2 linked regions of the Canis lupus familiaris genome follow. The protein of the gene in region 2 interacts with the protein of the main gene of each other region in a pairwise test. Links are inferred from orthologs where the notes say so. Each region holds a gene or a part of one and is shown on either strand. Other genes may lie near its edges. The genes, in order: PRMT6 and KIF9.

What was found.
Region 1: the proteins of KIF9 (region 2) and PRMT6 interact in a two-hybrid assay, tested with the Homo sapiens proteins (2 studies listed by BioGRID and IntAct). The link is inferred for Canis lupus familiaris from reciprocal best matches to the Homo sapiens genes KIF9 and PRMT6.

What each region holds. Positions count from the first base shown.
Region 1 is NC_049227.1:44,890,163-44,894,523, forward strand, and holds PRMT6 (protein arginine N-methyltransferase 6), read right to left. Parts: upstream 2,955-4,361; 5' UTR 2,915-2,954; coding exon 1,784-2,914; 3' UTR 323-1,783; downstream 1-322. UniProt on the Homo sapiens protein: Arginine methyltransferase that can catalyze the formation of both omega-N monomethylarginine (MMA) and asymmetrical dimethylarginine (aDMA), with a strong preference for the formation of aDMA.
Region 2 is NC_049241.1:42,013,938-42,017,742, reverse strand, and holds part of KIF9 (kinesin-like protein KIF9), read right to left. Parts: intron 3,123-3,805; coding exon 3,058-3,122; intron 532-3,057; coding exon 454-531; intron 1-453. UniProt on the Homo sapiens protein: Essential for normal male fertility and for progressive motility of spermatozoa.

The sequences.
Region 1 (4,361 bases), on a different chromosome or scaffold from region 2:
GTTTTTGTTTGCCCACATAGCAAATGGATTGTTACAGGAAGTCAAAAAAAGCATCAGAAATCTACCCAAAATCATACATTAGTATTGTAAATAAACGTTCATCTTATATAGTTGACCCTAAAAAATAAAAAGGACTTATTTTATACCTCCAGCTTAAATCAGGCCTACTTTACTATGACTGCACCATTTACACAGACTGTTAACTATCAAAACGGTGACAACTATCACTGTCATTGCTTGGATCTTGGCAAGTCATTGATTTTGTATGTTTCCTCTCCTAATGGAAGATCTCATGTGTTAACACCACATTTTAGCAAATTGGTTATAATACTTCAGTACTTTAATATGTGATGAATAAAGGAGAAAACTCATTTACAATAAACAAAACTATACTGAATTACTTCAAAGACCACTTCTCACACCTGTTTTCTATCAGCATACAAAAGCCACCAGTATGAAGAAAAAACATACATTAAGCATAAACTATCCTGAAGCTATATTCCGAAAGGGTTGTAACACTTAAGAACTGACGATATTAAGTAGGCAAAAGCATTATTAAGTCGCAGTACACAAGACTTCTTACTTCATCTATAAAAATAGAATGCCAATGTTTTATTTGCCACAGGGATAAGGAGGGAAACATCCGTGAAATAAATTTGATAACATGACTCACACTTCATCACAAATGATTTTCCGAAATTCACAACTTTCACATTTGGCTGAGCTAAAAAGAAAAAAAAAAAAGAACTCAACAACACTAAAAAAAGGAAATTTCAATTGATGTAAGTAGGCCAGATCACATGATCTCCCCAAGTGAGAGTTTAAGTGAGTGCATTTCTCTAGCTGGGAAAAGATTTTCCTTAATTTAAAGAGCCTAAAGAATTTACCCAATATGATGAACAAACCCCTTGGGTCAGGTTCAGAAAGCCTTCTGCCAACTGGTTTAATAAAAGTCACACAAAACTTTATTATGTAACATACACGAAACATTGCCTTGGTTAAATCTTAATAGTAAAATCAAGAATAAAAAAAAACCCGTACTACTTCACTTTCAGATGTTTCTCTCCTAAATGTACCTTGTTGATGTTGGGGGGGGGGGGGGGTATGCTGCACAATTATATATGGCCTATTTTACTCAAAAAGGAGAAATGTGTTCGACTTTAGCACCCTATGGAAGTAGTTAAGTGTAAGAACAGGATAATTCAAACTGCTTCCTCACTCTCCTCCCTCTCATTACCAGAAGCAAAAGTTTATTTAAAAAAACAAGGAGGAAGAAGCACTGAAGCCTAGAGGCACCTAGGAAAGGAGGGAATTTCGAGAACGAAAGAATATGGCTCTGGAGAGATAATATTTAAGTCATAGTGGAAATTTATGGAGTCTAGGTAAACCCCGTTAGCCTTCTCCCTGGCTTCAGGTTTGGGTGGGAGACATCAGGGATGTGCACGGAGCCTTCCTCTGTGTTTGGCTTCCTTCCCGCGAAACAAAAGAAACAGAAATACAAGTGCTTGGTACCACATGCTTTTTGAGGCCCAGTAATAAACAAGCTGTTTCCATCGTTGGGGGCCTCGGGGTTCACTTTTTAAATAAATATCGCCGGGAGAACCTCCTGGGAGGAGGAGACTCCAGTCCGCCTGCCTCCCGGGAACCGGGCGCGGGGAGGGCGCGGGGAGGCGCTGCGCCCACCTGCGCGCCGGGCTCCGCCGCGGCTCCGGCCCCCTGCACCCCGCCCCGCAGGCCGGCCGCCTGGGGCTGGGGGTGGGGGCGGCGGAGGAGGAGGCCGCGCTCAGTCCTCCATGGCAAAGTCTTTGGTCTTTTCCTCCTGGTCGCCCACTTTGTAGCGCAGCAGCACGCGCAGGAGGCGGTGGTTGTCCCGGGAGGGCAGCAGCGTGATCTCTCCGGAAATGTCCGTGTCCTGCTCCACCGGCACCGGCTCGTTCAGGTAGAGCAGCGCTTGCTTCCAGTGCGTGACCGGGTGGAAGGGCGAGGTGGACAGCACCAGGGGCTTCTCCGCGTCCCCGCCGGGGAAGGTCACCTGGAACCAGACGGCGAAGCCGTGCATGGGCGCCGAGCCGTAGCAGCTGAAGCGGAAGCGGCCGCCCACGCCGGCCTCCAGCTCCTGCTCCAGGCCGCTGCGGGCCAGCTCCAGCCGCGCGAAGCAGTGCGGCCGCGCCAGCACGTCCTCCCCGGACAGGCCCTGCACCACGATCTCCGAGTGGCCCATGAGGCAGCGCGTGGCGAAGCTCTCCAGGCAGCTCATGTCCACGCCGTAGAGCTGCTTCACCTGGCTCCAGAAGCCCAGGCGCAGCTCCAGCATCTGGTCGCTGACGGGCGCCACGAAGAGCTCGGCGGACGCCGGCAGCAGCAGGCCGCCCTCCTTGAGCCAGCGGGCCCGCGCGTGCAGCACGGAGCGCAGCATGGACTCGTGCAGCAGCCCGTAGCCCATCCACTCGCTCACGATGGCGTCCACCTGCTCGGGCAGCTCCACCGTCTCCACCGGCCCCGGCAGCACGTGCACGCGGTCCTCCAGCCCGTTGAGCCGCACCACGTCGCGGGCCTGCTGCCAGATGGCGCTGGCCTCCACGGCGTACACGCGCCGGGCGCCCGCCTGCACGCAGAAGAGGCTGAGGATGCCGGTGCCCGCGCCCACGTCCAGCACCGTCTTGCCCCGCAGCCCGGCCCAGTTCCGCAGGATGCCCAGGCGGTAGGCGTCGGTGCGGACGCGGTCCGCGATCATCTCCTCGTGCACCGAGATGTCCGCGTAGCACTCGTAGTACAGCTGGTCCCGCTCCCGCCGCGCCCTCCGGGGTCGCGGCGGGGCCGCCTCCGGCGCTCCGCCATCTTCCTCCTCACTTCCCTCCCCTCCTCCGCCGCCGCCGCCCCCCGACTCAAGCTTTCTTTTCTTGGGCTGCGACATCTTGGCGGCCCCGGCCGACTCCCGGCGGGCCTTGCGCGGCTCCGCGCGGGCTCCGGGCAGCGGGGGCTTCTGGGACTTGTAGTGCCGGCTGGCACCGCCCACTATCCGGGGGAGAAGCCCGGAGCGCGGCCCCGCGCTGGCAGCCCTGCCGCCCCCGCCGCCCCGCGGAGCCGGGGGGGTGGGTCGGCGCCGCGCGCCCGAGTTCCGCGAGCCTCTCTCCCTCAGCCCCTCCGTTGCCCTCTGCCTCCGCCCGCTCTGAAGCCCGCCGCGCCCCGAGGTGAGGGGCGGTGCGCACGGTGTGAGCGCCACGAAGAAAGCCCTGCGGGTGGGAACCGGCCCTGGGCCGCGAGGAGACCCCGGGCCACGGAAGGGCCGCGCTGCCAGCCCCTGGCGGCGGGAGCCCCTGCAGTCGGGTCGCGCCCCGCCGGGCGACGCCGCCGCTCCCCAGGCCGCAGCGCGGGGACGCGAGGTGACGGGGACGCGAGGTGACGGGGCGGGCGCCGCTGGAGCTCCACGGCTCCGTCCTCCCTCCCTTGTTCGGGTTTTCTCTTTTAAAGACCCTATTTATCCGTTGGTGAGACACGCGGCGGAGGGAGCGGCCGAAGGCGGCGCTGGGCCGCGGAGCCCCCGGAGCCCCCGGAGCCCCCGGAGCCCCCGGGCTGCCCGCCTGCCTCGCGGTTGCTTCCCCGCGTGGTCGTTGGCGTGGACGAGGTATTTTTCCTCTTCCGTTTCCCTTTCAGTCAACTGTCAGGGGTTCATTTCTTCCCTCCCTGTTGTTCACGATACAAATAAAATACACTTTGAAGTATGTGCGGTGTCCGTGGGAGCGTCTGTGTTCCCAGCACTGTGCGAATAAACTTCTCTCCCAGCAAAAAAAAAAAAAAAAAAAAAAAAAAAAAAGACATTGAAGAAAGTTGACTTTATTTTCTGGTAGCCTCGGATTATGTCCATTGAACCGACGGGCCTGTATTCCGTATTTGGGGACTAAAGTCCCTTCACCCCTTTCTTCCCTCTGTTAATCTCTCGTTTAATGGAATAGGTTTATTGACCCGACATCCTCAGCTGTACTTGGAGGGCTCTCTTGCTCCTCAGTACAGTCAGCTGTAGCTTTCACAAAATACCTGTGCCTCTGTCTCACCTCAAACTAATTAAGTCAGAACCACTTCACGGGAGCCCCGCGCATGAAGTTTTAAAAGCTCCCTGGGGAATCTGAATGTGCGGCCAGAGTAAGAACCACTGTGTCTCCCTAAAATGATCTTAGTTAAATCTTGCTTCATTATTTTCATCGGGTAAATTATCTTTTTTTTTTCCCCCCCCCCCAGTGGCCTGGGCTCAACCATTTAAGGCTAAAAGTCTTCAAAACAGTTTGTCTTTCTGCCCAGTTTGATTCCTTGTTTTAAGGAAACAGGTGCAGAGCAGGCTGTGAGATTAGAGTCCTAAGTAAATG
Region 2 (3,805 bases):
TTTCACTAAGGGTTCAACTGCATTTCCCTGGTTGATGGTGATGCTAAGCATGCCTTCTGATTCAGCAGCTGTGCTTGCTTAGAGGGATCATACAGGCTGGGAGGAAAGAGGTTTTGTAGTGATAAAACCAGATGAATATGAGAGGTGGTCCTTACTTGCGTCTGGAACAGTTAGCTCTAAGGAACTCTCATATAGAAGCCCTGGGTAATCAGAAGCCCTGAAGCCTCACACATGAACTGGGTGGTAACCTGACCTAGCCCTCTCACCTGGGTGGCCCCCTAGGGGGTCTTCAGGGACCCTGGAGACTCTGGCCTGTCCAGGACTAAAACCACTGACAGAGGATTGCATGCGTATCTTTAGTTGAGGTGGCAAGGGAAGCCAGTCTTGTCTCCTCGGCAGCAAACCCACACACTTTCTCTACAGTGAGACTCTTGCCCACAAGCCCCTAAGTACCTCAGCATCATACTTCTCATTGATGGCAGGCTCAGTGGTGACCAGCTTCATCCTGCTGGCGAACCGCAGTGAAGACAGCTGAAAAACAGATCACAGACCTCTATGTCTTTGGCCAATTGCTGTGAATAGAGACATTTGCAAAGCAGGTCAAAGGAGTCTACCGGGAAAGATAAATCTCTGCATGTAGACATATTCCAAAGTGAAGTATGGGGTCTCCTTCTTGGGGGTTCCTCCCAAGTCCCTCTGGAGGGGCAGCCAGGCAGGGGTAATTATGGCTAGAAGCCCATGAGGCAGTCACATGAGTAGGCACTTGAGAAACAGCCCCAATGCTGTGCCCCTCTGCACTGTTGTTACATGAGAGGTGGAGGGCTGCTCCCTGGCAGCGGGGAACAGCCAGTGGTAGCACAAGGGGGCCCTGAGATCCCAGCCTCACATCATACTGGGCTGGCTTGGGGCCCTGAAAGGACTCTTCCTTCAAGCAGTCTGGTTTAGTGGTTAAGAACTCTGCTGTTGACCAACTTCTTCTAACTCCTCTGTAAGATTGGGGAAACCTGCCTCCCAGAGCCTGGGAGGCTAATGAAGAGGTCTGTGACATGTTTTTTTTTTTTTTTTTTCCTTAAAGATTGTATTTATTTGACAGAGAGAGAAAGAGAGCACAAGCAGGGGTTGCAGGAGAGGGGGAGGTAGGTACCCCGCTGAGCAGGGAGCACAATATAGGGCTCAATCCCAGGTCCCTGGCATCATGATATGAGCAGAAGGCAGACGATTAGCCGACTGAGCCACCCGGGCGCCCCAGTCTGTGACATGTTCTATACAGAAATGGCTCACAGCAAGCCCTCAGGAGGAGACAGCTGCTTCTGTATGAGACTGGAATCAAGCTGTCTTGCTCCACACTCACCAGAAGTGTGGCCAGGACTCCCTCACTGTGTTTACTCCCACATATACATGCACTGTCAAGGAGTAAAGCAATATGATCCTTTCACAGGAACAGTGTTAACGGTTTAAAGCATTTGAAAAAGAGAAGCATTAGCTTCCACACTCCATTATGCCTTTGTCTCAAACCCCTGCGGCAACTCTGGGCTCTGCGGGCTCCTTCCTGGGTCACAAACCCCCCAGGAAGGCAGGTACCAGGAGACCTGCTTCCTGTGTGGTGACGACCTCAGAGGTGGGGACAAGGAGAGAGAGAGAGGGGGGCCTTCCACTGTCTTGGAGGACATTTTTCAACAAGGCAGTCGGAGGCCCAATTTTCATATGGTTCCTCTTGGGGTTCACATGTGCTTTGTTATGCTATGAGACTGGGAGGTTCCTGGAGCCTCCCTCTGGGGATGTTGCCTGTGCGTCAGCAGGAGCTCCCTCCTTGGCCTTCCAAGTCCCAGGACACACTCTCTGGACACAGGGATGGTCCCTAATGCAAGAAACTGGGAGGCCCTGCAGGAACATCTTGCCTTGCAGTGTGCCTGGAAAGGACCTATTTCACCGAAGTGGATTCTCCTGATGACTGCAGCTTGCCCTGAACATCTGCACTTGACAAAACAAAATATCTATGGAGAGCTTTCCAAATCTGCTTTATATATGATGTGTGGCCCTTCTGAGGAAGAAGGGAACCACTGCCAGGGTGCCCAGCTGTGTGAGCTCATGTGTGTCACTGCCTTGGCCATTAGCGCCAATCTGACTACCTCTGATTCTCATAAGCTTGTACCCTCCCAGGTCACCTGGGTCCTGCAGCTTGGTTAATCGCCCTGAGTCATAACTCTGGCCATAGCCCTCCCCTATCCAAACCCCAGGACACCCCAGCAACCAGCCAGAGCCAACCAGAGCCAAGGCGTCAGCCTGGCCACCGGGGCCCACGCAGCCTCCACAGTTTTTCTCTCCCCTTTTTTCCCGTGGCCTCCCCTGTGGTGGCCAGAGATTCCTGGCATGGCTCACACCTTCAGGCCCACAGTCCCCTCTGCCAGGAGCATCTTTGCTTTCTGTACTGCCTTTAACCCCAGACGGTTCAGGGCCCACCCTCCTCACCCCAGTTTGAGGAAGAGTCCCTCTTCCTCTGAAGGACTCCTTCATCTGGGCCGCTCACGTTCCTTAGGGCCATGGCAAGGAACCCTGAAGCCTAGGGCCACAGATAACTCACCTCTACTGAGCTGCTCTTCCCACCACCCCTCACCACCCTATACACAGCACATGCTTAGCACCTGTCAGCTCCTACTGGCCTTATAACCACAGCCTGGAACTCTGGTGCTTCTAAGATTTTTAATTGTATAATTATGAAGGACAAGAAATCAGCTATCCTTGGTCCCAATTCACAGGAACAGCACCCCAGGAAGCCTGGCCCTTGCCCTCTGTGTAACTCCTCACACAGGCCCCCACACTGTGCCTGCTTCCTGCCTTGTCTTTTCCTCAACACAGCCTCTGCCCCTTAGTACTTGGTATTTGGATTCTGCCCAGGCCTCCAGCAGCAAGTTTGGCTGATTCATCCCCTGGATCCTTTTCCTCCTGACAATGTCTATGGCTGATATGCCGGCTTAGCCAGCCTGGAGCCAGCCTTACCCAGCCCTGGAACATATGAGAAGGGATTCCAACTAGGTTGCATGGGCAGTCTTGACGTACCGTCTCTTCTAATTGGGAGGCTTCTCCATAGATGTTCGTCAAGAGGACCATATTGCAATTTCCTCCTGTGGAAAGCAGGACACGGAAAGGCCATAAACCATGTGGGTTTTCTGCCAAGAGATTCCTTCGAGGCTGGTGGAGGTCTGTTATGGATTGAGTGTTTGTGTCCTGTCAAACTTCTTACGTTGAAGTTCTACCCTCCTAAGTGATGGCATCTGGAGATGAGGCTTGGGGGAGGTAATCATGTTTAGATGAGGTCCGGAGAGGGTGAAGCCCCCATAATGGGATTAGTGGCCCTAAAAAAGAGAGAGAGAGAGAGACCAGAACTCTCTTTCTGGTCCCTCTCTCTTTCTTTCTTTCTCTCTGCTGTGTGAAAGCACCGCAGGAAAGCAGCCATCTATGAGCCAGAATCTTCACCAGGAACCATCCATGCTGAACTCCAATCTGGGGTCTCCAGCCTCCAGGGCTATGAGAGATAAATGTCTCTTGTTCGAGCCCCCCCATCAATGGTGTTTTGTTCTGGCCACTTGAGCTGACTCAGATAGGGTCAGAGGAGACACACCCCAGCATGTATAAGGCTGGAGAAGGGAAGGGAAGGGGAAAAGCCACTGGACATACCTAAAAGAGAAGCGAGGGCAAGAACTTGGAGCAGGGAGGGGCAGGGAGAGGGCTGTGGGCCAGGGCTTTGCTACTGGCAGCACTCAATTAATAAGCAGACACCCAAGACTGTGCCATCAGTCCCAACATG